Linked DNA regions of Lepisosteus oculatus. The protein of the gene in region 1 binds, or shares a complex with, the protein of each later gene. Links are inferred from orthologs where the notes say so. Each region holds a gene or a part of one and is shown in the gene's direction. Other genes may lie near its edges.

What was found.
Region 2: gtf2h3 (region 1) and gtf2b share a complex: the UniProt entries of both Homo sapiens proteins name them as parts of the TFIID-containing RNA polymerase II pre-initiation complex. The link is inferred for Lepisosteus oculatus from reciprocal best matches to the Homo sapiens genes GTF2H3 and GTF2B.

Annotation. Positions count from the first base shown.
Region 1 is NC_090717.1:7,650,947-7,666,426, forward strand, and holds the start of gtf2h3 (general transcription factor IIH subunit 3), read left to right. Parts: upstream 1-9,313; 5' UTR 9,314-9,382; coding exon 9,383-9,392; intron 9,393-9,766; coding exon 9,767-9,846; intron 9,847-10,113; coding exon 10,114-10,220; intron 10,221-11,131; coding exon 11,132-11,277; intron 11,278-11,376; coding exon 11,377-11,439; intron 11,440-11,665; coding exon 11,666-11,695; intron 11,696-12,090; coding exon 12,091-12,119; intron 12,120-12,193; coding exon 12,194-12,268; intron 12,269-12,583; coding exon 12,584-12,637; intron 12,638-12,916; coding exon 12,917-12,985; intron 12,986-13,529; coding exon 13,530-13,665; intron 13,666-14,184; coding exon 14,185-14,221; intron 14,222-14,306; coding exon 14,307-14,376; 3' UTR 14,377-15,480. Other genes in the region: ATP-dependent RNA helicase DDX55, read left to right, coding at 724-1,016, 2,022-2,198; eif2b1 (translation initiation factor eIF2B subunit alpha), read right to left, coding at 3,610-3,765, 4,504-4,629, 4,956-5,031, 5,364-5,432, 5,567-5,679, 6,456-6,572, 7,307-7,443, 7,989-8,090 and 1 more. UniProt on the Homo sapiens protein: Component of the general transcription and DNA repair factor IIH (TFIIH) core complex, which is involved in general and transcription-coupled nucleotide excision repair (NER) of damaged DNA and, when complexed to CAK, in RNA transcription by RNA polymerase II.
Region 2 is NC_090704.1:1,104,785-1,120,308, reverse strand, and holds the start of gtf2b (transcription initiation factor IIB), read left to right. Parts: upstream 1-8,662; 5' UTR 8,663-8,752; coding exon 8,753-8,769; intron 8,770-10,967; coding exon 10,968-11,074; intron 11,075-15,524. Other genes in the region: kynurenine--oxoglutarate transaminase 3, read left to right, coding at 173-231, 645-789, 1,243-1,392, 1,497-1,583, 2,002-2,127, 2,460-2,580, 3,133-3,209, 3,614-3,703 and 4 more. UniProt on the Homo sapiens protein: General transcription factor that plays a role in transcription initiation by RNA polymerase II (Pol II). Involved in the pre-initiation complex (PIC) formation and Pol II recruitment at promoter DNA.

The DNA of each region.
Region 1 (15,480 bases):
ATGACTTAATGACACTAGTATGGTACTTATTGTGGTAGCTCCAGCAGCACACATGTAGTGAAACGTATTGAAAATAGATAAAGGGAAAGGTGTGTAAAGCATTATAATGCAGTAGAGTAGATCATTGAATATTTGTGGACCATTAATCTGTCCAACATTTTCTGATTCACATGCTGATCTGCCACAAGAATATATTACAGTAAAAGCTTATTCCTTGTGAAGTGGGCATGGTACTAAAGGTAATATATTGTACTTTTCATTAAACAAGACACATATAAGTAATTAAAGATGACATATATAAGTAATTTGTGTTTTTACGTACTTTATGCTTTAGGTATACTTTTTATACAGTGAACCAGTTGGAAACTCTTAAAAAATATACACGCAAAACTGCAAAAACATTATGTGATAAAAGTGTGTGCAAAAATAAGCTGCTGTAAATACACTGGTGTGGGTGCCCAGCATGCTTGAAAATCTCCCTCCCTCTTAGGGCCTCAGTGATCGGTGGCCTATTTCAGTCACAGTCAGGATTGCAGACTGCGGTGCAAAACAGCGATGCACAGTAGTTACCTGAAATGTATCCTTGTGATTCACTGGTGCTGAGCTGATCAGCCTACAGAAGTCCCACAATATGGAGCAGCTTTGATTTCGCAGTGCACACCCTCAAGGCCTCCCTCGACTGAAGTGAAGGACATTCCCCGCCGTCTTGCTCTCTGTTCCCAGATCTGGACTTCTCTGCTCTGGCGCGGGGGTTTGCTTTGCTGAGGCTGCCCAAGATGCCCGAGCTGAGGGGCAAGGCTTTCCCGGACTTCACCCCCGACCCCATCGACACGGACTCCATCCCGTACAAGGACAAGAACCGGCAGAGGCAGAGGAGGAAGATGCTGGCGGAGCAGAAGGAGAGGGAGCAAGCTCAGCCCGTCAGGAAGATCTTCGTCAAGAACAAAGCCTGGTCCAAACAGAAAAGCAAGAATGACAGGAGGAAAAAGGTGGCGGCCAAAAGAAAGAGAGAGGAGGTAACTCTTTACTGAGGTTTTTGTTCCGGCCACCTGCTTTGAAACAGCCCAGGTGTGTGTGTTTCATGTCCCGGCTCTCAGCTGTGAATGGGGAAGAGCAGGCAGTATCCTTTTAGTCGCCCACCTTGGAGCCACTTGTGTTTGAACACGTCACAGGCTGGAGGAGAGGTGCGTCCCTCACTGTCAGGACCGCCTGCCTGCCAGCGTGGGTCGCTCTGTCTCTGAAAGAGATCCCTGCCACATGAATCCCAGCCTGCTCTGTCCTTGGTGGTGCTCAGCCGTTTGGGGGAATTGTTGTCAAATATATACTGTATAGAGAGATCACTTTATTGGCTTTATTCCAAACACAATTTATTGTATTTGGAATTTCCCAGCTTGCGCTCCATGAGACACACAGACAGGGAGAGAAGGTTTATAAATGTTTTATACATATGGCACCCCCGGAGCAGCTGGGGTTAAGGGCCTTGCTCAGGGGCCCAACGGAGTAGGATTCCTACTCAGGCCTCGGGATTCAAACTGGCAACCTTCCAGTCACAGGCGCAGATTCCTAGCCCCAGAGCCACTGCACTGCCCCAGAGTGTGACAGTGAGCTGGGGACATGATCCTGGTTTAATCCCATCATCAACCTGTGTTCTGGCATGTGCCTTCCTCTGTCCTCTTCTCTTTTCCCAAATCTGGACTTCTCTGGCTGAGCTATTTGGAAATCCCTTAACTTGTTTAGTTAGCAAAAGGAAAAGAGTGGAACAACACTTATCAAGAGTCATTATAATTGACTTGACTTATCACTGAAATTGCCGTCACTTCTGGTTAAATGTGGTTTTAAAGAGTTTCTCAGTTTCTGCTGATTTTTAAACTTGCTGAGGTTACGATAACATTGTATAAGCGAGCAATTACCTGACCTGGTGATATCCTTCAGGAATGCATTACAAAATTGATCTCAGACTTTTTTACAGCAGCTGTCAGAACTGTAACGAGCAGTCTAATGATGATTCTTTCTGGTATCAGGGCTCAGATATTGAAGACGAAGACATGGATGAGCTGCTCAGCGACACCAGACTGCTGAAGAAGCTCAAGAAGGGCAAGATCAGCGAGGAGGACTTTGAGAAGCAAGTGACAGCTGCACGTGTTTCACAGTCCAAAACGGCAGGCAAGCAACAAGAGGAAGATTCAGAGACAGACTAAGAGTGAACAATGGTTAGAATCCTAGTTGCAAAAAAAAAATTGTAAAATTGAAAAACAAATGACAGAAGAACTGCCTTTTTCCCTGAGCTGAGTGACGAGTTTTCAAAATCTTCTCAGGGATGCAGCTTTTTAATCAAAGTAAGACCAAGTTGCAGTCACGGTAAAGTAGAAGAGACTTCAGAGAAATATTTCACATGCTCTTCAGAACCTTTTCGGTTTGTCACCTGGAAGCAACTTAAACAGCTGAAGCTCAGATCCTGTGTTGTTATACTGGCTTCTTAAGGAGAGTCTGTTCATTCATTGATGCCTTTTTTAAATTGATGTAAAATTGCTTGACTGCATACAACAGTGTTTATTTCCCTGCTACCTCCTGCACAGGGCTTATTGTTAACCATAACCATATTGTTGAAGCTGACACTTTGAGGAAATGGCTACCCTGGGATCAATTAGCAACTGTTGTAGGTGGGCTGAATGAACCACTTGTTTGCCAGCAACTACAGTATATCATCCTGCAACTCATTACTGGCAGCCCACTGAAGCTCAGCAGGTGTGAGCCTGGCCAGCACTTGGACGTGAGACCTCCTGGGAAAGCTAAGGCTGCTGCTGGAAGAGATGTTAGTGTGACCAGTAGGTGTGTTCTCCCTGTGGTATGTGTGGATCCTAATGCCCCTTTTATAGTGAGGGGGGACATTAAACTGCAAAGAAAGGTGCCATCCTTCAGATGAGGCGTAGAACTGAGGTCCTGACTCTTCTGTGGTCATTAGAAATCCAAGGGCCAATCCAAACAAAATCCAAATTTGTCCTAGCCAAATTTCCCCCTGACCTTTACCAGTCATGTCCTTTTAAAAATACCCATATCTGAATTGGCTTCATCACCCTGTTCTCGTCTCCACTGAGAGCTGGTGTGTGGTGAGAGTACTGGAGTACTTTGGCTGCTGTCTCATCATCCAGGTGTGGGTTACACATTGGTGGTGGTGGAGGGGAGTCCCCATTATCTGTAAAGTGTTTTGTGTGGAGTGTCCAGAAAAGCACAATGTAAATGTTGGGGTTATTATTGTTGTTTGTAACCTTACTTTTTATTCTCAGGCATGGCAATTCTGGTTCTGGTACTGTATGATCAGGTACCCAGGAAATCTCCATGTTAGTGAAATGTTTCTTCAAATCTGCAATTTGTTTTTCAAATGTAGTTAGTCCAGAGCTAACCTATGAGTATCTAAACATTTTATTTTTAATTCTGAATTAAACAAAAGATAGAATATTCAGTCCCATTAAGTGAAGATTAAATATTCGTCAGGTTTATGTTTCTCAACATCTAAGTACTGATTTTTTTTTAACAAGCACAAAATAGTTCCACTGACATTTCTTTAAACAGCTTTATTAGATATATAATTTACTGGCATCTTCAGTGCTGTTACAAATATAGCTTGATGAGTTCATCACTAACAGCTGAAGGGGTGAGCACCCCCAGATCTGTGAACAGGAGAGTGATGAGGGAGGGAGGTGTGTAGTCAATCATAGGATGCTCTTCTGCTAGATTCGTGCTCAACTTCAACGTATCGGCTTTGTACTGTGAAAGACAAAACATTTATTGCAGCAGCCACATAATATCTATATATCTGTATATCCATGAATCCATTTTCTAACTGCTTCATCCAATTGAAAGTTGTAATGCAGCTGGAGCCTAACTTGGCAAGCAACAGGTGCAAGGTAGGATACACCCTGGCTGGGACACCTGTCACACACAGACACAGACACACACATGCTCACATCAGGGCCAATTCTCCCAAAGCCAATTAACCTACCCGTATGCCTTTGAACTGTGAAAGGAAATCAGAACACCCATGGGAAACCCAAGGGAACATACAAACAGAACATACGAACTCCACATGCATAGCATCCCAGGACCTGGAATTAAACCCAGGACACAAGCTCTGTGAAGCAGTAATGGTCACCACTGTGCTACCATGCCACCAGAACATCTGAATGTAAGTGGATAATTCAGTCTGAATGATCTTAGCCTGGCTGAGCACTGTTGTCAATGAGATGAAGGAATTAAAGACTGGGTGAAACGAGTCACTGGTATGACTACGGTGTGCAACAGCAGCAGTGCTCTCACATTCTCGATGGCCATAACTTAATTTGTGATATTTTTTTTCTCTCTACTTGTGACTATGATTTCAAAGCACGTCTATGTGAAATCAGAAGCGAAGACAAGTCAGTTGAACAATCTACTGAAAAGTATCTTCAGAAAAAGTAGATTGATTTTGCTGACACCGAGATTATTATTTCTGAACTTGCCCTTTACCTTAAATCTGTCAGGAACATCTTGCTGGTTCAGTGGGTAAAGTCTGACAAACTTGAAGCTTTCTGCCACCACATAAAAAGGCTTGTTATGTGCTTTGGAGCACACTGCCATTTGGTATGTGCCAATCTGCAAAACAATTAGAACAACAATAGAAAAGAATTAGAATAAGATTCCTATACAATATGTAACTTCTGATAGTTTGTAAATTATATGGTTTACAGATTACATACTGTATGTTTAGCACAGTATAGAGTGCTGAACAGCTCTTGTCTTTAAATTTTCTTAATTGTTATTATTTAAAATACATTTAAACCTCAAAATATTTGCCTCCCAACACTAAACGGTTTCATGCCACAGCACCAAATAATCAGTATGTTTTAAAATGAGAAATAAAAGTATCCTGTGTTAATGAATCCTGTGACATGACCTGGTGCGTCTGCGACACCACTCACCTTGTTGATGATGCCTCCACTCTCCACTACACCTTCAGCTCCCACGATCACCAGGTCCACCTTCTCCATGACGTACCTGCAATGACAAACAAGAATCTCCTGTCCTGCGGTTGGATCCATAAACAGCACCCTTCTGTCGTACAAAAGCCCCTATGTCACCTGATTCTCCTGAGTGCTTTGTACACAGGCACTTGGCACACTCAAATAAGCAGTCTAGAGCAGGATACATACCTGACCTCCAGATCTACGCCCTGCAGCCCTTAGCCCAAGTGACATTAAATATTACTACGTTCACAAAGCTGGTTTTGCAGTGTGTTGGTTATACCTGCGCGTGAACATGGCTGTGCTGTGGAACCAGTTTATTGGAGGTTTTGAAATTCCAGCTTGGAGATTCCTGCAGGTACCTACCCCACAGCAGCATCCAGGATCACTGTGACCGGAACATTGAGTTTTCTTAGCTTTTCTGCCATATTTTGCCTGCAAAAGAATAAGAGTTCACTAAAATAGATCATCCAGATACTCTCCGACGGGTAGTTCCCATTGTAGATCAGATAGAGTGCTGCGCTTGTTGGTATTTCTTTTTTATTGGGTCCATGCTGCCATGTACTTGCCCTGCGGTGTCGGGCTGAGATTCAGTCACGTAGACGGTGAAGCGCTTCTTCTCCGCTGCGGCTTTCTCCAGCACGCGCAGCACCACCCTCGAGGAAGAGTGGGTCAGGATTTTCTACAGCGGGAAAAACCAGGAGGTGAAAGGACACAGGATTCCCTCCCGCTCATGCCCAGCAGAGCAATGCAGCAGTGCTGAATGCGGTCTGCTATACTCTCTGCTCTATGGCTAACTGATGCCCTGAAATCAGTAAGATGCCTGCTGGCTTTTGTGCAGAAATCAGCAACCCTGCTCCTGGAGAGTCCCAGTTCCCCATTAGTAGAGCTAAATCGTCTAGTTCTCAAGACCTGGAACAATCAAGTTATCTACTTGATGATATATTAAAGTAAGGTTGTTTAAAAAAAAATTCACAGCCCATAAGAACCTGAAGCCCCTTAACTGAGTATATGGCTTTCTTAATCGATCCTCCCATCCATCCATTTTCTAATCACTTCTAATCAGGTATGCAACACACCAGGTCCCTTTTCCCCCAGAAACCAATTAGCTGACCAGCATGTCTTTGGACCTTGGGGGGAAACCCATGAGAACATAAAACCTCATGCAGACAGCACCACTGGCAAGGCAACAATACTCACCACTGCGTCACTGTGGCTTAGCTGATCAATAACTTAGTATTGCCAGTATTCATCAACAGTTGATTTAGGGTAACATACAAGACTAAATGGACTGGGGCTCTTCAGGACTATGGTTGGACTCACTTGCTTTATGACAACTAAAGAACACATATCAGTCTTTCCTATAGGAAGAATTACCTCCACAAAGTTCAGTCGATATCACTTCAACACTGTTGAAGAGAAGCATGCTATTTACTACTCTTCAACATAGGTACTCACTGCTCCGTCCTTGATGAATGTGTGACAGAGTTTTGCAACTTTGTTCCTCGAAAGTGATATTTTCTCCAAGAAGAGTTCTCCTCTTTCAATCATCACTTTCTTGCATTGTGATAAGTCCTGTGGACAGGGTGGGAGAAACAAAATGTTCTCAACACCTGGGCCCCAGCTGCACTTGAAAAAACATCTACAAGATCTGAGCCTTTTGGATTCACAATTTCCCCACAAGTTCTCGCATGCTGAATATGTTCACTTGGGTATGGAAAGGAGACTGCTCTCCCGTGATGCTGGAGGACATTTGTTTAGTTTCTCCTTTTGTCACCTTACCTTAGTGTAAACTAGGCTTCACACTGTATGTAGGATGGCAGAGCAGAGCTATGTTGTAAACTAAGTCACAGACACTTACGTCACTGCCTTAAAGCTTCAGTTCAGGGTTTACACCAAGGGTGGACTATCCTGGTCTTGGGAGGCCTGTATGTCTGCAGGATTTCACTCCAACCCAGCTTTTAACAAGTTCAATCAGATCCTTATTGGCTTAGTGGGGAAAAAATAGCTTCTTCCAGCACTTCGGCTTCTGGTACTTTGAAGTGTTCAGGAAACCCCACAGACACACTAGCCCTCCAAGAGCAGGACAGCCCACCCTTATTAAGATGCAGAAAGTTCTTGTAAGAGCCAGTAGGCCAATCAAGATATTGATTGATATTTCAGGCCAGTCAGCTCTGAGAACTTTGAGAAAGATGTGTGAACTTGTACAAGGGCCTGCAATGTGTACAGTAAAACCTGCCATGGATCGGATCGGCTACGCAGTGGGCGTTTTCTGTACTTTTCTGCCAAAACGGACAGGCAGTACTGACCGGATGCTCCAGAGAGGTGAGGCTGATGAAGCGCAGGAACAGTTCTCCCCCAGACGAGACGGCCACCGAGGAGTCCACACTGGTCAGTTTGTCGATGGCCTGAGTCAGGTTCTCTCTCAGACCCAGGATGGTCTCACCTGCACCACAGCAGAGGGGAAACTGAAGAGGAACTTCTGGGAGAACTGACCCATCCCCGATCACGTTTAAAGGATCAGCTCTATCTAGTTAATACTACTACACACCTGAAAAAGGCTCCATAGCCGAAACATTGTGTTTTTTTTCTTCTCTTTTCAGCATGGAATAAACCTTTACTTGTGAGATTGTTACAGCCATCTGTATGAAGATTGGAATTCCAGACTTGTAACTTCAATGCCTATTTGAACTGATAACATGGGTGATGACTGTGATGCTGTCAGGATGGGCTTGGTTATGGCAGCTGTATGGGGTAGTGGTGAGGGCTCTGGACTTCCCACCAAAGGGACTGTGCGGTCCAATTCCTAATGGGCTACTGCAGTCTTTGAGTGAGTTGCTTCACTCAGATGGTTCCAGTAAGTACCCTGATCTCTCAATGTAAGACAGTGGGATGTAAAGCTGCTCTCAGCTGACTGATCTGTTTGAAGAACGTAGTACCAACAGGCGTGACGGGGTCCGAGTACAATCCCTTTTTCCGGGAATCGGTTACCTTTGTCTCTTTTCAAGAACTCCAGCAGAGTGCGGATCGCGGCCACAGCGGACGCCATGTCAGGATCCTGCCGCATCTGATTCCTGAAATACTCCACCAGTTCTGAGGGAGACAGAAGGGTCTTTGACATGACAAAGATCTCTGTTCAAGTTACCTCTCAACAATGAAACCAATTCCTTTTATGTACAGTATTTTACAAATGCCAGGCACTGCAAATGCTCAATCTAATACAATTGTAAAACTAAATCACAACCATAGAGCTACTGTAGTAGACATAAGTACGTTATAAGACATTATCTCTTACCCACAGTGTTACTACTTAACAATGAAGTGTAAAAACACCGCTTGTTGAACTACTAATTCATCCGAGCAAGCGGTAGTAAGATTTCACCCAATTTTAAGATTGAACATATGGTGTGCTAATGCTTATTTCTAAAACTTTATGGACGTATATGGAGTTTTAGAAGGAAATAATCACAACATGCATGTATCAAACCAATTTGGGGGAATTGTGACGCCTCCTAACGAACACGCTGGAGTGAATAAACGGGAGTTATTTTATGGAAATATACCAGTTTTTCGTCAGACCCTTCCACACACTGGCTCAGCAAGACTAGTTCAATTCCACCAAAAGGACGTTTCTCTCCATTAGAAAAGTCATACCAGACAAAAAGGCCTTAAATTTAATTTCATTTGACCAAAAACGCAGCGTTACAAGAAAGAAAGTAAATATATTAACGATTTCACCATTTTAGCATTGTCAAGACTGTAGGATGAAAAGTTAGGTCATTCGTGGTCTAATTTATATACCATGGCAACATACCTTTTTCATTCATTTCTGAAAGACAGAAGTAGGCAACTTTCTCGGAGGGTGGCTGGTGCAAACCAGGCAAGAGCCAACAGCTGTAAGACGCAGGAATATTTCCACTTGAATGGCTGTTTCAGACAGTCAGTAAAATAAAAGGCGAAAGTCAAACACGTAGTAAAATCTGTTTTATTTAAAAATCGAAGTTATAAAAATAAAAGCGATCTAGATTAATTAGTTCAGACGTTTTGTAATTAGAAACAAATTATATTAACTTTTACATAAGGAAATTATTTGACAGCCGGATACTTTTCCCCCTTCAGTGCAATAGCTGATGAAATAGAAGATCTCTTAATTATTTACTGTTTTGGGGGATATCGTTGTTTATTAATCCGATAATATGCGCATTTGAAAGAATGATCGATTTTCCTAAAAAATACTGGATTTATCAGTATTTCAATTTCACTCGTGCAGCCGAGCAAGCTCAGAGTGACTAGTCGAGGTTTGATGACGTCCGCATGCTGCGACACTGTCAGGAAGATGGCTTTCTGATACTTGGGGAATATCTTTCTGCGTTTGTGATGCAGATATGGCTTCTGGTGGGTTCATTCAACTTAATTTCGATTATTATTATTATGTATGATCAATACGAGGAATATTTAGTTCGTGCATCTTTAAAAACAAGCCTTTTTGTCTTTCGTTTTATTTTACTTAAGTTGTTACAGTGGCATGAGAGGGAATTAGTACAGTATATTTCACTGCTGTTTATTAAGTTTGACGCCAGAAACAATCCACTTCATTTAAGAATGTAAAATGTAACCTTAGTTGGTACAGGACACCGATTACCTAAAACATAATTACGTTATTATTTGTGTGCAACTGAGTTATTACGGCATTCTTTCGATAGAAGATAAGTTAAAATCTTGTTGTGTGTCACAGAGAATTGGGGGTGATTCCTTTCTTCTGTTTGCAGAGGACGAAATCAGTCTTCTCGTCATCGTGGTGGACGTTAGTCCCATCTGGTGGGGCCAACAGTCGCAGAAAGAGCCCGAGGTAAACGAGACGGTTTGTGCTGTATTCTTGCTAGAATATATAGGTAACCGCAGCATTTACCTAGAAGTGGTTTTAAGGCAGTTTGAAAGTTTTAGCTTTTAGCTGCCGCTCGTACTGGCAAGCAAACTGCCTACAATCTGTCACCTTTGTTTTTCTGTATTTGCATTTGTGGAGGTCTGGAAAATATGGATTCTAAGAACTTTTGCAGTTTGTGAAAAGAGTTGAAGTTCACAGCACTTGGTTTACTTTCATTGCTCTGTGAAACAGTTCACCCTGTCCAAGTGCATGGATGCTGTGATGCTGATGGGGAACTCGCACCTTGTTATGAACAGGAGCAACAAACTCGCCATTATTGCCAGCCATTGTCAGGAGAGGTAAAGATGTATTATCATTTGCGATGAACAAGGGTGATGGATTTGAGTTCCGTTTGCCCATTTTCCATTCTGTTTCAAAAACCTTTATTAGTATTTTATCTGTTCTGGTGTGTTTTATGTATCTGTGCCTTTTGCTATTTCACCAGAGTTTGGATAACACTATATATTTTTTATTATAATGGAACTTTAAATAATTTTCCCATTTATTTGATATACCTTCCCATTTTGGAATCGCCACTTATGGATTTTCACGTGTCAGCTCACAACTAAGAACCCTGCAGCAACACACAAAGGAAAATGAGGATATACATGCAGACTTCCACAATCCACCCACCTTTGAGATATTTACATTTTAGCATATCACAACCTAGAAAGCTCCATACAGGCATTTCAGTGCAAGCAGCACTTAGGGGTTCACGTAGTGCACCAGGAGTTTGCAGGGGGCGTAGTTTTGCCAGGATCCAAGAGAGCCCTGGCTAATTAAGCCCAATCCCAACAGTGGTGCTTTCCTAATTGTGCATCTCTGCCTCAGGAATCCTGGTTACTTTGAGTGAGTGACATGCCCCAGGCTCGAACCTGCATCGTCCGGATGCTACAGTTCCACCTGCTCTAAGACAAGCGTCTTTACTGGAAAGGCGACTTAAAATTATAGCAAACTGTTACAGCACCCTGATGGTGAAGACTTCCCTTTCCAAAGCCAGTGCAGTCTTGTTTTAGATCATTTTTGGAAACGCACCTCTGTTTTTGTGCACAGACATGTACTGTTTTTACTATCAGTTATCTTGTACGTGCTTGTGTTAAAGTGTCCTGGGGATCTGTCAGAGTATGGCAGGGACAAAGTGGGCAGCATGCCAGCGCTGAACATTGCTCTGAGCATCACGCATTTCCTGTTGTGCTCCTTGTTTCTGCAGTCACTTCCTTTACCCCAATAAGCACTGGAAAGCTGGTGATTTTACAGGAGATGAGGCAGCATCAAGCAGTGGAGACGGCAAATATGAGCTCCTGTCGGTAGCCAATGAGCTCATTGCTGAAGAGATCAGAAATCTCATGGCGAGAAGTAGGTCACTCTGATGTTTAAGTTAGTCTCTCTCTTTCAAAGCAGCCCATGTTATCTGGCAAGGGATTGCATAACATACTGTCCATCCTGTTTTTTCAGCTGATGTGAGGGGCCAACAGACAGAAACGTTGCTGGCAGGATCACTTGCAAAAGCACTCTGTTGTATCCTTCATCTCAGTGTTGTAGCACCAGTACTCTTAAAAACTGGTGGCTCATGGCTACACTGAAAAATACAGATTGTAGCAGCCATTTGTGACATACAGTATGTAGGAGTTTTCTTTCATTTGTAGGCAATGCTGTCTTCCAAAAAATCTCTTGTTTGTATGTCTAATTGGATTTTTAGCTGATGGCCAACGGGCTGTTAGTTTTCATAACAGTTTCTGGACAGATATCCACAGGCTTTCAAAGGAACTTGAAGGTAATGCAGTCCTTTCTTTCACAATTAACTAGTCTTTCATGAAATGTTAACATAGCTTTTTTAGTGTATCACATATTTACTGCTTTATTTTGAAATTCAAATTAAGATTTCTGTATGGATAGGTAGTTCATAAATTTCTGACATCTTTTCTGTTGTGTTGGTTCGTTTACCCTTTATTTATTTATATGCTTTATTCAAGGCAGAGGCTTTCATAAAAGTAAATGAATGATCTGGAAAACGTAACCCCTGATCAGTTATATAGCAGAACTACAGCAGAGAGGAATATTTCTGGACAAATCAATGAAACAGATGATCAAGTATAGATGACAGTTAATAATTGAAAAAGATGTGGAATATGGAATGTTTTGTGATATATGGTCTGTTTTCTTTTCCAGCTGGACCAGAAATGAAATCAAGAATACTGGTGAGCAGTCATTTTCAGGCATAGTTATCTTCAGGAATTTATTCCCAGGATTAATGGTTTTTGTTGTTCTCCAGGTAATAAAGGCTGCAGAAGATTGTGCATTACAGTACATGAACTTCATGAATGTTATTTTTGCTGCACAGAAGCAGGTATGAATGCAAAACAATTTGTCTCTGCCCTTGGCTTTCCCTTCACAATGTTAATTGAAACATGTAAAATATCAAATTGTTAGGAATTAAATTTATGGAACACCTTCTTCTTACAGCAGGCTTTGTTCTGTAATAATTTTTGTGTTACAGCACTAATTAGTGAGATAAGAATGAGGTAAGAATTTCTAAAATGAAGATCCTTGAGATATTTTTTCTGTGATTCGTTTTGATCTCTTTGCTTTTCCCCCCCACTGCTATGTGGTTGTTAATATGTGTTGAAAAAATTCAGGTTTTTAGTTTCTGTTTCTGTTGCAGAGCATACTTATAGACGCATGTGTCCTGGATTCTGACTCTGGACTTCTGCAGCAGGTAGATGTTTAGTTGTTGCCAGCGATGCCAGTACGTCTTGTAGAGACCGTATGTCAGTAGGATTAATTTATATTTAGAGGCCGAAGCAAGAGAACTGTTAGAGTTTTAGTCAACACTGAAAAGAAAAAGAAAGGGGCGAGGGAAACATTGTGCTAGTATGCTTATAGAGCCTTAGCACGATTGACATTTTTCTGATTATATTGTACCCTTCTGAATACTTCTGTTGCAATACCAGTCAGGTATCATTCTGAGCTGTTTGCACCTTTGCTGTTTCTGCAGGCGTGTGATATTACAGGGGGGCTGTATTTGAAAATACCACAGAAGATTGCTCTGGCACAGTATCTGCTGGTAAGAATGCTGAAACATGAAATCTGTAGCAGACATCTAACAGCAGCTGTGAAAAATGTATGTGGGAGGGGACCACAGTCCAATGTGTTGACTAATTGTTACGATGCTAATTAGTCTGACTTTTAGCGATGTGATTTAATTCACAAGGTTACTTTTTGGTACCTATTTATACAGATGCGGTGGTTGCAATGAACTGAGTGAAGCACTTTGATCAGGAATACAGCAACATTATTGCCAGCTGGAATTTGAACCCATGGCAGGAGTCCGGAGCTTTAACCAGAGTTTCACACTGCTGCCCAGTCAGCCTCCTCCATACATTATCCTAACCCTATAATAGAACTGTTATAAAGAAATACAAAAGTAGTCAACATCTTTTAAGGGCTTGTTAACCAAGCCATGGCTGGTGTTAAGTTAGCACATGTGGTTGAGATCAGTGTGTGAGTTTTTAAGAGGGCCATCAGCCGCCTGGTGTGGTGTGCTGTGCGACTAGCATGCTTCCTTTTGCTCTGGGTTAATCCCTCTGTTATGGATCCGTTGTCTCCAGTGGGTCTTCCTGCCCGATGCCGATCAGCGCTCCCAGCTGGTCCTCCCTCCTCCTGCACACGTTGACTACAGAGCCGCTTGCTTCTGCCATCGGAACCTCATTGAGATCGGATACGTGTGCTCAGTCTGCCTGTCAAGTATGTTCTGGAAACTTGTTTCACTTTAATTCAGTAGTTTAATGTTGCTAAGTGGGCTTGGTGATGCACTTATTGCAGGCTGGCAGCACCAGGGCCCTGGGTTCAAGTTATGGGGTGCTCTCTGCGTGGAGTTTGCATTTTCTCTCTGATTTCCTTCCACAGTCCAAGGGCATACTTTAGGTAGGTTAATTGGCATCTGTGAAAATTAGCCCTGCTGTATTGTGTGTCTTTGTGCGTGTATGCCCTGGGATGGACTGGCATCCTGTCCAGGGTGTATCCTGCCTTGTGCCCAGTGTTTGCTGGGATAGACTCTGGCTCCCCCACTACCCTGTTCTGGGCAGAGCAGTTAGAAAATGGATGTTGCCCAGTATGTGACACCAGGAGTGTAGAACTACTTGTGGTCTTGTAAAATGATGTGTCATTTTGAAGCAAATGCCAAATTAAGATCTAATTCTGTAGCAGAGGGTTATGTATGTTGTTACTGCGTTTGTTTACTGATTTTTATTTCCTTCCATGAAGTTTTCTGCACCTTCAGCCCCATCTGCACAACTTGCGAGTAAGTACTATCTAAAGTTAGCCTGGTGAATTTAATACGAGAATTATTGTACCCCTGTTTATTTAATGTGTGTGTTTCTTTCTAGGACTGCCTTCAAGATTTCATTGCCTCAGATGATGAAACCAAAAAAGAAGAAGTTAAAACTAGCTACATGATCACCACTCTTGCTCTGGAAATACTGGAAGATTAAGGACATCGGGAATTGTCTTTAGGAGAATATACAGTAATTGAGACAAGCCTGGACCAAATAAATTTCATTTAGGTTTGATTTCAAACCTTCAGTTTACACAGGACCTCGGAAAATTAAAAAATACAACTGGGAAGGGAAATAATCTCCTTTTTATTTACTGTCACTAGTCAAGAAATGGGTCCCGGCTATGTTTTCTCTGTTCTGTTTTCTCATTTACATAAAGAGTTCTTGACTTTTAAACTATATCCAGAGACTGAATTTGAAACCAACAACTAAATGATTTTTTTTTCAGATCTGCTTGATGAGTAAACTTAATGAAAAAGAAATTATTTTCTTAAACATGAATTTGGTTATACAAGTACAGTTGTCTTATGGTATTAAACTTTGTTCATAATAACATTTTGTTCAGTATTAAATTGAAAAACCGAACATTTTGCCATCCTTGTTTTGTTCTATACAGAATACTGTATGTCATCTCTCAATTTGTTAGACTTCTACATTTTTATTAAATTGAAGAGGTATGTTCATTTCTAGACCAGTGTTGTTGTGTAGATGTTTATATGTCAACATATCGATGTTAAAAGTTAATATTTGGGTTATTAGAAGTATTTTTTAATGCCAAAGGCAATAATGACCTACTGTAGATTACACCACAACCAATCCTAACAGATCAACATTTGTAAACAGTATTTCTAAGATTTTTTTTTAAGTCAAGGAGTTCAGTGTCAGACAGTTAATAATTACCTGAAGAAACATTCCCCTTTTCTAACACTACACCTTTTTATGACCTTTTATTACTTAATTTAGTTTAGTGCAGATATAACTAGATATATGTGTTTACTGTATATCAGATCATATATAGGGCACAGTAAACAATGACAGTTATTTACGTTACACCAATCTACAATTTGACCTTAAATAACGTAAATGGGTGCTTTAATGTGTTTTTGTTTTCATGTTTTCATTTAAAATGTGGGTCATGTTTCTCCATTATTTTGAAAATATTTACTGCAGTTAGGTACCATAAAAAATTGTAGTTGTCACGTTCAGATTATACTCATGCTTTTGC
Region 2 (15,524 bases), on another chromosome or scaffold:
ACATACCATGTGTTCATGTGTCTGCCATACTTTCATGCCTTGTCTTTTGACTTTCTTTACATCAAAGAGGTTTAAATGTGTCTGTAATGTACAAAAAAAATGTATTTTATGTTTTGAGTCAATGATTGAGAAAACCTCATTTCTGATTCTACTTTTCTCCCTTAAACTTTAGATGACTTCGTTCAGGCACAAAAATACCAAAAGAATCCAAGGCCTCGATAAAAACATATGGTAAGTACAGTGGAGATCCCCCTGAGAGCTGAAAGGTGTCAGTTCTGTACATCAACCAGTCAGTTGTGTCTGAGGATTTCTTTGATACTTATTTCACCGGAGCAAAGTTTTGAAAAGCTACCAAAGAGAGAAAAGATCTGCTGAACACTACGGCTTCGAAGAATGCCATTGTCTCGCCACTATTCTTGTTCTGTCTTAGTGGCGGGTGGAGCTTTCATGCTCCTGTGCTGCAGTGAGCCTGAATCCATGCGCATCACAACCCAGGGCGCAGGAAGCGATCTCACAGGGCTGCAGGGTTAAAGGGCGCCTGAGCTGGGGATTCGATCTCGGGGCTCGGCCTCGGTTGTGTGGAGCACAGCGCCCTAGACCCGAGTGACGTGTGTCTGTCTGTCCGTCTGTCTGTCTGTCCGCAGGGTGACCTTTTCCGCTGTGGCTGCTGACCCCTCCATCGTCAACCTGGGGCAGGGCTTCCCAGATCTCCCCCCTCCCCCCTACGTCACGGAGGCGCTGGCCAGGGCGGTGTCCGTGGACAGGCTCAACCAGTACACCCGGGGCTTTGTAAGGGCGCTGGGGCGTCGGGGCACGCTGGGGTGGGGGGGCTGGGGAAGATTGCCGCCTCTCGTCCCTCCGGAAGACACGCACTCTTCTTAATTAGTAGGCAAGTTTGTTTGTTTGTCCAAAGTCGTGGATCACTTTCACAGACTTGTGCATGATCCAGTGTTTGGCTGTACGTGTCCACAGATGCAGTAGACATGTGGCTGTTGTGTTCAGTGAAACGTCTGGAGTGGGCCGTGGTGGGGAACGCGTGGGGCAGCGTGGCCGTGCTCCTGGAGCCGACGGCTCTCCTGCTGCAGCCCGTGAGATGCAGGTCTGCCTGCAGGCTTCATGCTGGGTCGAGCGCCGGTGCGTCTCCCGCAGCTTGAGGGCCGGCAGGAGGCTGGCGGAGGCCGTTTGTTGGCGCTGTACCCGCTGAGAGGCGGTGCTCAGCTCGCCCCCTTGTTCTCCCGGCAGGGGCACCCCTCTTTAGTGAAGGCGCTGTCGCAGGTGTACGGCGCGGTGTGCGGCCGCCAGGTGGACCCACTGAAGGAGGTCCTGGTGACGGTGGGGGCCTACGGGTCTCTGTTCAGCACCATGCAGGCGCTGGTGGAGGAAGGAGACGAGGTGAGTGTCCCCCTGGCCGGACTGTCGCCGCTCCTGACGACTCCCCTGACGTCCCACAAAGCCCGGGTTCTCTCAGAACTGGGTTTTAAAACTCACTGTTGCAGGTGATCATCATGGAGCCCTTCTTTGACTGTTACGTGCCCATGGTCCGAATGGCCGGAGCAAAGCCCATCCTGATACCGCTAAGACTTGTGAGTCTGATCATTGTATGTTCATGTAGAAAGAAGCAAATCCGTCTAATCTGTCTGGGGATCTGCACACTGTGTGCCAAGGGATGTGTGTAACGTTTGTGGTTTATTTTAAAATTGTCAGTAATGCTCTTGAACCCTGTTTCCACTTAGGGAGCTCGCCTCACGTACAGTGGAGTCCGACATGCTTTGAATTTGAACGAGTCAGATGTGCAGTAGATTATGAGTTATTGTATCTGTGCAGAACACCTTTAGTACTTGGGTCTAGCTGTTAGGGCTCAGTACTAGATAAGGTACCTCCTGATAGCTTGTATGCAGTTCATGTGCTTATAGTAGCTCATGCCTTTTGTTGGATGTAAAGGACCTTAAAATACAAAACTGATGATTCTTTCCACATTGCTGTGCTGTTTTTAAACACCAGAAAATGTCTGAAGGCTCTGCTATCACCAGTGCAGACTGGGTGCTCGACCCAGAAGAGCTCGCGAGCAAATTCAGCTCGAAGACCAAAGCCATCATCGTCAACACACCTCACAACCCCTTGGGAAAGGTGAGAGCTCTGCCCCTTTCCACTCTCGCAGACTGGCCCTGGTCCTGGACAGCCCCCCGTCCTGCAGGTATCCTCAATCTCGAAAGGCCTGGGGCAGTTGATCTAGGATCAGCTGAAGTACTTTAAAGATCATTTGGAAGAAAAGATTGAAGTATCCTTCCGCTCTCTTCAGCTTCGGGACCAGTTGATCAGTTGCTTAAACATGGGTTCCTAATCTCTTAAGAACAGGCGATTTAGGGTGACCTGCGAGATTAACTGGACAGGGGCTCTCCGGAGTCCGGACTGGGGACCCCTGACCGAGACTCTGAGCGCTCCCCCGGTTGTGTTCGCAGGTCTTCAGCAAGCAGGAGCTGCAGATGATTGCCCACCTGTGTGTCCAGCACGATGTGCTGTGCTTCAGCGACGAAGTGTACGAGTGGCTGGTGTACAAGGGGCAGGAGCACATTAAGATCGGTAATGCGTTCGGGACTGCAGTACAAGCACAGCTTGTGGGCTCATAATCGGAGTCGTTGCAGAAATATCTTTCTCATTCTGTGCAGATGTCTTTTACTTTTACTGGTGACCCAGTGCTCAGCTTTATAGTTTTTATTTGTAGATAATAAGATTTTGTCCATATCCTCTACAAAATTGTTTTTACTGAGCTCTGCAGGAATCGGGGAAAACATACAGCTTTTACAAAGAAGCAGAAATGTCTCCTTTACTCAGTCTCCCACTCCAAATAACATTCTGGAAAAAAATATTTTGAGTTTTAAGAGTCCTGTGTTAAATTTCTGATGGATTCCAAATATTTGAAACCCAAAATTTCCATTATCGGTTGTTCTTTTAAAATAAAATATATACTTATTTTTGTGCGGTTCCTAACCAGATGTGTTCAAGAAGCAGTAAGGCACTCTCCCGTCAGTAAATGTTAATGGCTTTAAAATGTGATCAGGAAGTCTACGACTGGCTTCAAATTTAAACTGTTTGTACTGTTTTGGAGTTTGACCTGGAGTTGTTTCTTTAAAGCTGCACTTCCTGGCATGTGGGACAGAACCATCACCATCGGCAGTGCGGGGAAGACCTTCAGCGTGACTGGATGGAAGGTAGAGTGACCCAGCTGCCCGTGGCCTGACTGGCTCTAGAAGTGCGTTTGTTCTGGGAAGATGGCTCCCTCTGCTCCAGGTCTGATCGTGCACTAGTGGGAGCAGCTGAGTTCGGCAGAAACGTGTGGAGGTGTACAAGTTGTGTGCATGTTCACTACGCAAGAATAAAGACAGGACCCACATCAGTAGTCCAAGAGACAGAGTGTGTGAGCTGTGTGTCTGGACTCAAGGCAGCTGTGGTGAGAGATCTGCGGTCAGCCTGGAATATGACCGCATTTACCCCACCATGTGCACGGATAGACACCTGCCTATTGTCAGACAGCTCTTCTAGAAATATACACTTTATATATACTTTTAGTTTAGGTTCAGAGTGATCAAATGACTTTCTTTTTTTTTGTTTTCAGCTTGGCTGGTCAATTGGTCCAGAACATCTAATCAAACATCTTCAGACAGTCATGCAGAACACCCTGTATACCTGCCCCACTCCCTTACAGGTAAAACCTGTTTTTTTGCATTTGTGACATTATCTTATATTTCACATTTGAAACTGAATGTTTAGTTTTAATACTGAAGGTATTTTTAATGAACAGAATTCAAAGGCTTCATTTGCAAAATAAATCTGTGATTTGCAAGTTTAAAATTTGTCGCCTTACCTTGATCGGATCTGACCCTGTCTTCTGAAGTGCCAGGTGAAATGTAAACCGTCCTGCTGAGGACTGGTCTGTGTGATCCTCCTGTTCTGTTCTGGTCCGACAGCATGATGAGCCGCTGAAGACATCACACCAAGCGAGTTGTAGAAAATCAGGTCGTGTCCCTCAGTCGTTCTTCCCCTAGTGGCATCATGAGAAAAACTGTTTATAAATCAGGGGAGCTATTCAGCCCACCTGGCCCAATGTGGTATTGCAGTTAGTAGTTACTGGAATCGATCCCGTGCAGCCATTGCGTCGAGTCAGCTTCAATAACCTGGCCAGACAGCTTGTTCCACACTCCCACCACCCTCTGTGTAGGGAAGCGTCTCCTCCTCTCGGTTTTATTGTACTTCTGCTCAGTGTTTCCGCCTATGACCACAGTGCTCCCGTCGGACAGTTGAGGGAGGATGAAGGGGAAAGTGATCTGGCCTTGCACTGATTTTTGTGCTCTTGCGACTGAGAAGGCCCCATGTCTGCCCCGCAGGAGGCCGTGGCTCAGGGCCTGCTACTGGACTTCAAGCGCATGGGTGACCCCGACTGCTACTTCTCGTCTCTCGCCCGCGAGCTGGAGGGCAAGAGGGATCGGATGGCCGGGATCCTGGAATCCGCTGGCATGAGACCCGTCGTTCCCGAAGGCGGCTACTTCATGCTCGCGGACGTGTCTGCGCTGGGTGAGTCGGCTGTTCCACCGGGGTTTTCGGGAACGTGTCCTGCCCTTCTGGAAAACTGTCCCAGGCTCACATAGCCGCAGATCAGTGAGGGCCACTGTTTCCACGTCGTCATGGGGGGGGGGGCTTTGGGCTCATCACAGACAGGTTGTGGGTTCGAGTCCCTGCTGCAGACACTGCTGTTCCTTCAGTGAGATACTTCAGCCCAGTTTCTCCCGTCCTCCCAGCTGTATAACTGGGCACCGGTACTGCTGGGGTGTCATCCCTGTGATGGACCAGTGTCCCGTGCTGGGGGAAGTCGCCAGCACTCCAGACCAGTAGACACTACAGGAGCTGGGATGAGCTCTGTCCCAGTGAGTCACTGTGGCCCTGGTGTGAGCCGTGAGTTCACCTCTAGAGCCTCTAGGGCAAAGAGCTTGCACTCGCAGTCTGTGTGAGCCCCTTACACACACGTTTCCCAGATATTTGTATGTCATTTTTAGTGAGTGAAAAGAGGGAATTGGATTACATACACTGCTAGCATATTTCCCCCTCAGCTTCATAGTACATTAGACATGTGATGGGTAAAACATTTAATCAGCAGTGAATCAAAAATCTTATGACACAAGTGGAAATTATGTGCATTTAGGGGACAGATCAGGAGACCCGTCTCTACACAAAGGGTGGTGGGTGCTTGGAACTGGAACCCCTTGCCCATTTAAACTGATTCCAACAGTTCTGACACAGGACAGCTGGCTGAGAACCTCAGACCAACGGGTTACGAGTAGCAGCAAACACAACGGGCCACACTGCCGCCTTTAATCTGTTCTTCTTACAAAAGCTATGACAGTGTTTGGGCCCTGTTCTGACTGCGTTTGCTCACAGAGGGGAGGCAGGGCCCTGGTACGAGAGCTGAAGAGCCCAGTGGTGCTGGGAGACTGATCTCGGCAGAAGGCAATGAGTGTGAAGAAAACAGACAATGAGCTCTTCTGTCCAGCAAAGACAAGAGCTGTCGCAGTTCAAGACACTGCGTACTGACAGGACTGTGTCACAACGCTGACTTTGTTCACATCAAACAGGACTCCTTATTCTACACATTGAAGGAACAGTAATGCACAGCAACTTGTGTTCTGTTGTCAGTGTAGTGTAGTGATGAAGGGTTTTGTTTTAATTTTAATAAGTAGCATAGTGATTTTTTCCCAGAGTTAAAAACTGTACTTGTGGTCCGAGGGCTGGGACAGACGGCTAATCTGTATCGAGCATGGAGAGCACATCACAGCACCACCAGGGCTCTAGTTCCTGACTTCCCTTGCCTGTCCAGCATTCCTGCTCACAGCGTGGGAGGGTAGAAGTGTGCAGAAAAGTAGTCCAAGAGTATGGAAGTGTAAAGAAATTGGTGTGAGGAATGTGCTCTGCACAATGACCGTTCGCCTTAAACGTGATACACTAGAGAGAAATGGCCTGCATGACTTCTTCTTGTCCGTGAGCCGTCTGGTGGATTCTGAGCACTGCAGAGCCTGTGTCCGAGCGTGACAATGTTTTCTGTCTGCGCAGACGTGGACCTGTCTCACGCAGGAGACGACGAGCCGTACGACTACAAGTTTGTGAAGTGGATGATCAAGGAAAAGGTACAGCTCTTTCCTCCTGCTGTGCTTGGGGAGTGCTGAGTGTGTGCTTTGTGGGAGTTTTCCACAGCGGCAGTGAGTGCCCATACCCAAAACAAATCAGATGAGGCAGACCCTACCGCATGAGCAGGCAATTAGGATGTTATTGGAGTCACAGAAACCTGGGGCCCTTCTGGACTTTTTTTTCTTTTCTCTTCCAGAAACTCGCAGCTATTCCAATGACTGCCTTCTGTGGAGAAGAGTCTAAGAAGCAGTTTGAAAAATACATCCGATTCTGTTTCATCAAGGTAGCCTGCTGCTTTTCTGCCTTTATGAAGGCATCTTTCCCTGGGTGTCCCGAGCAAGTCTCCCCCTGCTGGCAGCACGCCTGTCCTGCAGGCGATGGGCTGCCTGGCGTGGTCTCCTGTGGCCGGGCTGAGACTGGCCTGTGGGCAGTGGGAGTTTCCCTGAGGGTGGCCGAGCAAGACGAGACAAGGCCTTGCTTTCTCACGGTCATACCTCTCTTGTAGGATGAACTTAAATTTAAACAGGCTTCTGTTTAAAAAAGGTTTGAAAAAACGTTAAAGGCAAATGCCAAGACAGGAACTTGTTTTTGTCTGAAGGCAAATGGTAGCAATGGTAAAGGCTGCTGTGTGCAGGCAGTTTAAGCACAATAAACGTGCCGTGTGTAAAACGGCAAATCAAAGCTGAGTGACCTTCATGATGGCCGTATTTCTTCTTATTGGGGGACACCAGAATGGTGGCCCTGCTCATGGCTTGTCAGGACTTCAGGCCCAGGCCAGTTGTATTGAATATGACTGACACAGTACAGCTGATCACCTGAATTCCAGTTATCCGTTTAGGCCAGCTTGAAATGAATGGATACTGATCCCGCTGGCGAGTTTTGTAGAGTTTGAGCATTGCGCTGACTTTTTGTTTTCCCTTATTTTGCAGCGAGACGACACGTTAGATGCAGCAGAGGAGATTCTTAAGAACTGGAACAGAGCGGCGCCTGTCTGATAGTGAAGACCTGGCCCTGGCCCTGGCCCGGCGCCGTGTTAGCTATCTTGCAGGGAATGTTACGTTTTGAATTTGATGATGCGTTGAATTTGAGCTAATTGAAACATTTCAGTATTGCTGTTTTGCATCACCAAGTTTATTACCGTGATGGTTTGAGTATTTCTGTGTGATGCAGTGGCCTTTTCCATTATACCATTAAAGCATTTTTTCCTGCAAGTGCTACTTAAAGTCTTTTATTATCCTGCGTTCGGCATTTCCCCTGTCTTCTCCTCAAGGTCCCTGCAGTTATCTCTGTCCTGTGAGGTGGTTTTCTCCTGGAGAGGAGCTCGTATCTCACCCTCATGCCGTTTAAAGGACATTTAATATACAGGTCTTATCTGTCGGAAACTAAGAATGTGTTGAAATGCTTTCCTGTTCCTAAAAATGGGAAATAAAAAGAAACGTCAGTTCAGAGTTATTTACACAATTATCACAGCAATCTTATTATGAGAGACTGATTAAATTAAATTTTACGAAAAGCTTGTTGGAGTTGGATAAGACCACTTTATTAGCCATATACAATTTCTTGCATCAGGAATTTCTTTTCACATGAGACACAGACAGATGGACAGGGAGAGAAGCTGGGGGTCAGCCATTTATACGGCGCCCCTGGAGCAGCTGGGGTGAAGGGCCTCGCTCAGGGGCCCAACAGAGTAGGATTTCTCTGCTGGCCGCAGGATACGAACCGGCAACCTTCCAGCCACAGGCGCAGATCCTGAGCCACAGAGCCACCGCTCCGCCTCTGCATTCAGGAAGAGAAGGACCGTAGATACGGTTTGGGCAGCGAGGGGGTTTGAAATGTGTCGCTCCTGCCGTGTCTTTGAGTCTGTGTGCCGACGGAGCTGAAACGTGTTGAGCTCTGAGAAGGCTCGAGGCGCAGGAACAGACCTCCGCCTGGACCTTCGGAGTATTTTGATATTTGAAATCTTTTTTCTTAAAACCTTCTCTACCCTGACTAAATCTATGCAAGTGAAAAATAATTTCTGCTCGTTATGAAGTTTTTATTGTCAAAGTTTGTTTTTTTTTTAGCTGTGTCTGCGAATTATTTTAATCGTTCCATTCGTTATTTTTATCTTTCTATTGCCTTTTAGAAAGTCACTCGAAAGTCAAAGCAGCGTACTTGATCGTATTGTCTGCGTCAAATAAATTAAAGTAGTTAATGTACTTTGGACAAAATGCGGTAAAAAATGAAAAAATAAAGATTTTTATTCACGTACGAAATGAAAAACCTTCATTGTATGCCTACCGCCTGTCATTCCGTAAAAGTCAAAGTGGTAAAATGGCGCAGGATTCATGACGTGCATTTGGAGTTTAAAGTCTCAGATTTGTATTACATGCAAATGGAAGTGGTATTGAAACTTCAATTATGATGTTTTTTTTTATTTGGAAATTTGCACGACAAAGGGAGTGATTAAGGACGTGTATGAAGTTTGGGCCTCTCGGCTGCCCGTACGCTCTCGGGCACGTGACGAGCGAAGCTATAAATAGAGGTGGGGCGCAGTGCGTGTCCGCAGTCGCTGTTGGTGAGCTCGACTGAAGGCAATATGGCGTCTACTAGCCGGTTGGTATTTTTTAATCATACGTTTCTGTTGTTTCTAAGGTCTTGTGCGGTAAACAAGACAGGGGCGGGGGGGGAGATAAAAGTATCGAAAACAAGCTCGGAAGGGGTGCCATTAACGGGGGGCCGGCGGTACTGGGTGTTTTTTCTGCGTTTCGGGGTGAGCCGGAGGCGTGTTGGGGGCGCCGTGAACAGTCAGCAGACTCGCCGGGGCCGCTTGATCCCCTCTTTGTGTCTGAAACAAACCTGCCCGTGGGACCCGGCGTGTGCGTGGGCGCGCACACGGGGGTGCTTGGTCGAAACTGCGTGGCGAGCGGGATTGAGGCGTGTTGGCTTAATCTCTGCCTTGCCCTCCGTGCGCGTCGGCTCGCCTATTGTCTGGCTTGCCTGCGTGGTGCGCACCGCGGCTGCCCGGGATGCGCGTTGATTTCACTCTCGGGCAGGCTGTCCGGCTGTCAGTGCGGTGAGATGACCGGCGGGGGTGCGAGTTGGGGGAGCGGAGAGCGATGACAGAATCGAAACCGGAGCTGATGTACCGACAGGGCCCCACTCACCCCCCCCCAGCACACCGCCGCTGTACAGACACCCCCCCGCCAGCGCTCTCGGTGCCCCTGTGTTTCACTTCTGACCTGCTTTGACGGCAGGTGTTCTCTAGTATCAGACGTGTTTTATAGTTTCGGGAAAGAGCATATTTCTAGCTTGAGCTTATTCACGAGAGGGAGGCTTCGGTTCAAACACGGAACGTGAGCTCTTTCCATTCCGTTCTTATTCACGATGCACGGCGCTACGCAGCAGTGTGGGTTTTGGAAACCTCAGAAGTAAAAGCCACGGAGGCGCAGTGGCCAGCGGTGCTGGGGCCCCGGGCTGCTGTCTGTGTGGAGTCTGTATGTTCTCCCCGTGTTCATGTGGATTTCCTCCCACAGTCCAAAGCCATGCTGGTAGGTTAATTGGCTTTTGAGTAAAACTGGCGTCTCGTCTAGGGTGTATCTGGCCTTGTGCCTGTTGCTTGCTGGGATAGCCTTCGGCTGCCCTGCCAGCCTGTCTTGGATAAAGTGGTTAAAACATGGATGGATGTGCAGAAGTGAAAATATGGGACGAATTGTCTTGGAACTGTACGCCCTGCGCTTGGTTTAAATAGCATGGAGGTTTGGAACAGTTTGTTCCACTACTTGTCGATTTCATAGACCTTATTCTCACCTGTTTGTGTGTCATTGTTACACTAGTCGTCCTTTGATAGGACTCCCGCTGTTACAAAGCCTGTAACTATCATCTGGGTTAGCCAGCATGTTTACAAAAAACAACACGGACAATATAATCGGCTCTGAAGTTCTTCCAAAGGTTTGCTGCTAAACAATTCTCTGGTCATATCTGGCTTTCTGATCTGCAGTAGGACACAGTGTACTTTGAAAGCCATGCTGTGTAGTTTTTGTTCTAGGAGTATTTTGCAGGGAAACTAGGGTAATTGTTTTATCAGCTAAGTAATGAAGCTCGTAGTCAGTCCACGATGGCAGAGCCAGACACATTAGTTGCATCACTGTCAAATTGTTAGGAATGAGATTTTGCACTTAATCAGAAACACATTTTACATCGATAAGAATAATTCTAGATAGTTGTACAGCTGTTAATAAGCTAAAAGACTTTGTATACTGGCAGCATGCGTCAGGAATCATTTTAAAAGTTTCTTTATAGAAACCCTGTGTCCAAGTTTTTCGTGCAGCTCGTGCACCTTCTTGAACTTCAATAGAATGGTTTTCACAACAAAACTTCAAAAATTAAGCTACTTACGTTTCGTTTCTGGCACAGCATCTTGAAGTTTTTCAAAAGCGTTTATAATTTCGGCCTCATTTACAAGTTGGTGCTGTACAGTTGGGCCTCTATCAGACTTGCGCTGAACTCCAGCACCGTCGCCTCTGACCGAACTGGGAAGTCGGCGGTCAATCCTGCGCAGGTACACCTGGCCGAGCACTGAGGTCCGTTTGCTACCTGGAAGTTTCCCTGGAATTTCCTGTCATAACCTCCGTCTCAAGGCAATGCTACCCTGTCGCTCTTCGTTAGTGGGCAGGGACAGAAGTGTTCCCTGTTGAAGACCTGCTAGACCACTGCGTGTTGAAATGTTCTGGCTGTGGCGGTGCTGCTACATGTGGTAACGGCGTGTTCCAGCGGGTTCTCTGTTGGTCTGACATGTGGTTGCTTCTCCGCAGTGGAGATGCCCTTCCCAAGGTCCAGTGCCCCAACCACCCCGATGCCATGCTGGTGGAGGACTACCGGGCCGGAGACATGATCTGCCCCGAGTGCGGACTGGTTGTGGGTAAGACAGCGAGGCGCGCGTCGTCGTTCGGAAGCCAGAGAGCAGCAGGCTCTGTCACAGTAAAGAGGCTTTCGGGCATCGACAGGCTTTGACTTGACTGCCGCGGCCCTATGACATCACTTCTGGTGCGCTGGGTTTTGATGCGCACGGATTCAGGCAGTACAGGAAAATGAAAGCTACATCCGCCAACTGGAGAACAGAATGTGTCCATCTTCTAACCATGACTAAGCGTTTTTTTTTTTTTTAGATTTAGGCTGACTATATCAGCGGTTCGGGTCACGGGTCCTCTTCGACTGGGCACACTGTCAAAAATCTGTTGGTCTGGGGTTTGAAGTCATTTCATTCTTAAGTGGTTTATTTTTTATCATTTAAAATCAACATTTGGTCAGCCAGTTGTGTGCTGCAGCTCAGGGAATCCTGGTTGTTTTAATACTAAGCATTGGTGCTTTTGACTGTCTGGGTGTCTGTTGACCATCATGGCTGCCCAAAGCGGCTCAGAGCAGGTGTGTCAGGAGGGCTCTCCCAGGTGAGCTGACACGAGCGGTCAGTGGTGTCGGGGATCAGATATTCTTCCACTATCTGGAGGAATGGCTTGATAATCTCCAGGTAGAGGGGGATGAGAGGAGTCTGGACTACAAACCCCGTCTGGTGTTACATTTACTGCAGGTTCCAGCTTGTGGACAGAGGGACTATGTGACAAACCTGAGCTGAGCTTCCTCCTTGTGCTGTCATGTGCAGAGCGCAGGTTCTGTGACATTTCCACAGCATCTTCTCTAATACTGGTAATGGTAAATAGTGAATTTTATATACCATATTTAAGAGAAGATCCTTTTCAGTGCTATCTGTTTAATTCTTAGTTTTTATTGCATTTTGCGGTAATACAGTGCTCACAGAAAGGTCTGGTTTGTTCTGAAGCTAAGCTGAGGCTCTTACTGTCTTTAAGGTTTCATCCCATAACAGAATTATGAGCTTTGTTAAATTCTTAGAGAGTACAGACTCATTTTTTAGTGTTAGAGTGGTGAACTATGGAATTCTTGTACCCAATCGGAAAATGAAGGAAATTTCTATGTGCTTCAGGTTCATAATCTGGTCTTTCCGTATTTAACTTGCTACACACCGAAATGAACTCTTCTCTAGTTCTTACAGTCGTTCCACAGCTCTGTGTGCCCTCTGTCCCCTCTTGCGGATTGCAGAGAAGAACGTTAATCGTTGGCGACAAGGAGTGACATTGTTCTGCAGAGTAATAGGAGTTGAGATACCAGCGACTGTTGAAAGCTGTGAGGTTGTGGAGTCTGCAAAATGTTTGCATAAGTGGATTTGGTTCCTGCCCTCTGCGTCTTTCTGCCACATGGCAGTGAGTGGTCGAGCGATGCCAAGGACAGTGTGCGGCGCACGGCGACGGCGCACGAGCCGCTGGGGGGGGTCCTGCCGCCGCCCTCGCACTTCCATGCTTCCGCGACAAAGCCAGGAATGTGTCCCCTCTCTCCTGATGTAACGCAACACACAACAGACTGTACTCCTGCACCTGGGAGAGAGAGCAGTTATTTTTTCGGTCTTTTATCCCCCTTTTGAATTTAGGCTTCCTGTCAGTTATTGCACTTTTGTTCCTTAAACGCTTCACGTGATGGATGTGTTCAGAAGAATTGTGAAAGTTGCTCAAATAAAGGATTTTTTTTTAAAGATTGAACAGTGTTTGTTTGGTATTGTGATGCGTGTTTCATGGAATCTGTATAAAATACCATAGTGCTCCTCTGGCCATCTGTCTTAGGAAACTCGGGAATGATGAGGCTGTTGGGGTCACAGTTTACACACCTGTGATTGTGCAGAATAACATCCCATTCACACTCCGCATGTCCGCACAGGAAATGTGGAACTGGAATCATGGATGTTACTGAGATGTTCATTTAGATTACACTTGACCACCTTTCACTACAACTGCAAGTTTAAATGATACTGTACTTAGGCTGGCCAGCACCTATGTTGTGGCCATTAACAAAATTTTATTTTAAAATGATCCTTTTTGAGTGAGTCCTAAAGGCGCTGTGCAGTGCTTGGTGTGGGAGGCAGCCCTCTGCTGGACCTTGCCCAAGTTTTAAAACAAATATTTTTGTTCAAATGACAGTAAGCACTAAACAGCTTGAGAAAAAAGAGGCTGCTGAGAGGTTACAACCTGGAATGGAATATAGCACAGTGGAAGAGATGCAGTATTGCATGGATTTTTTATATCGGAAGCATTTAAGGGTAAATATTCCCCTGGAGGGAAGGCCTTCAGTCCCTGCTGGCTCGAAGTTAGGGGTGCAGGACCTGCCCGTTTGCAGGAGTTCACACCTCATGGGACACATCCTGTCATCCCAGATCCCGTGCTGGTCTGATCACTGGCTGGACCCCTGGCAGTGTAATAAAGAGGGACTGAAAAACAGAGCAACGATTCAGAGGGATGGATGCCTTAGTGTGGTAGGGACAGTGGGAGCCAGTGGGCATCTGAGACGTTCAGGCTGTACCGAGTACACAGGGAGTCCTGTTTTCAAGCAGTGTGGCGAAGGTAGCACGGATATACGGTACAAGATATGAATTGTACCGAAGTCAGTCCAAGCGCATTTTACTGATGGACATGAGAACGGCTGGCTCGAGGTGTAGGATTCATGAGGTCACTCTGTGATGTTTGTTGTTTACATTTGCTCATTATTGTTTTGCGATTTTCAAGGCATTTAGTCAGTAAAAAGTTATCACCATTATCATTAAACGTCTCTGGGATATAGATAAAAATGTTGCTGCTTCTGTCTAGAGACGGGCAAGATTTCGCCCGAAGGCCAATCCAAAACAATTTCATTGTGTACAATGACGATTGTAGGTGAACGCTGCAGTTATCTAAGTTAGCCACTAGGTGGTAGTAGACCCTCAAAAATGAATTCGTTCTTTTCGCAAATGTGGAAAGCAGGATGTTTTGTCCTGTCCGTGTTTCAGGTCCTTGTTTGGAATTAAGATTAGCATCTTGTTTACACGAGATTAAATTTGACATGTCCTGTTCCTCTGCCATAAGATTGGGTTAATGTTTTAAAATGTAAGGTCACCACAAACCATCTTGTCTTGATGTTTGAGACTACTTTAGCAACAGAGGATGTTTAGCACTTTTTCAGGCTCATTTTTGGTCTAATGAGGAAGTTGATAGGTGACAAAATAATCCTAAAATAATGAGAGTTGAGCACACTTTTTTGTTCTTTTAACAAAGTAAACAGATTACCAGCACTGTTCAGACTTAAATACTGGAACAAAGAAGAACATGACCAGTTAATTCTCAATTCCCTTTCTTAGAAAAACAGTGGGTTGTGGTTTGAGAACTAGAGCTGCAGAACGTCTAGCAATGCAGTTCCCATTAAAACATAAAAGAATAATTTAAAAAAATTGGCATTGGAGGAAATTTCTGATCCATCTCTGTTGAATCAATGCAGACTGCAAGCAGTTTAGTTTTTTAATTCCCTGACCCCTGTACTCTTTAGCTGTAATGATTTATTGATTTCTGTGCCGACATCAAGGCTGGGGTGCAGTATGTAGCATTTCTCTCTGAGTGTTGACATAATTGATGGCTCACTCTAGTAAGCTGAATGTTTTGTGTAGCATAAATGTTTTAAGAATGTGCAGTAATATGGTAGTCTTTTTTTACTCAACAAATGATCAATTCTGAAAGATCTGATAGAGGTTCAGCACGTTAATTAGTGGTTCTTTGAAACTGATATAATGGTCCAAAACATTTGGTTATGGTTTTATACAGTCAGTGTGGTGTTGGTGTCTTAAAGTAAATCATGTAATGATTGATTTCTGTAACGCTTGAAAGCGCTTTTTTTGTGAACCGACAGTATGATATCTTCTCGGTTTTATTCCAAGCCTCATCAGATGTATCTTTGTGTCCTTCTATGCTGACCTACATCAGTCTGCCTCATACCTCTTTAATACCGGCAGCGCTCTTAAAGTCAGACGGGTTATAAACGGGAACAGGCCAAGGTGCCTGTCGAGCAAATTAATCCAAAGATCTCATCCAGACCTTTCATGGAAGAAGCCAGGGCATCGCCTTCAAAAACAAGGCTGGGCTATTTGTTCCATAGACCTTTGTGTATAGAAGTACCTTCTGTTCACAGTTTTAAATGTGCTTCCACATATTTTTTACTTGTTTCCTGCTTTGTGTCAATTCTCTGTGCTGTTGAGGATTATAAATTCTTGGATCAGTCCCCCTCTTGTAATTTAAAGCACGGCTGTCTAAACCTTTTGGTATTTACCATTGTCAAATGGCTGTCTGATCCATACAGAGCTCGCAGAAACATTGTGTGGCATTAAACTAGTTTATTGTAATTTTTTATTTTATTTTGGGGTGGTTCCCAAAAAGTAAGAAAGGATCCTTGCACCCTATTAACAGTGGCCTGTGGTCTAGTTAACAGGCAGTATTTCCGAAATGTCA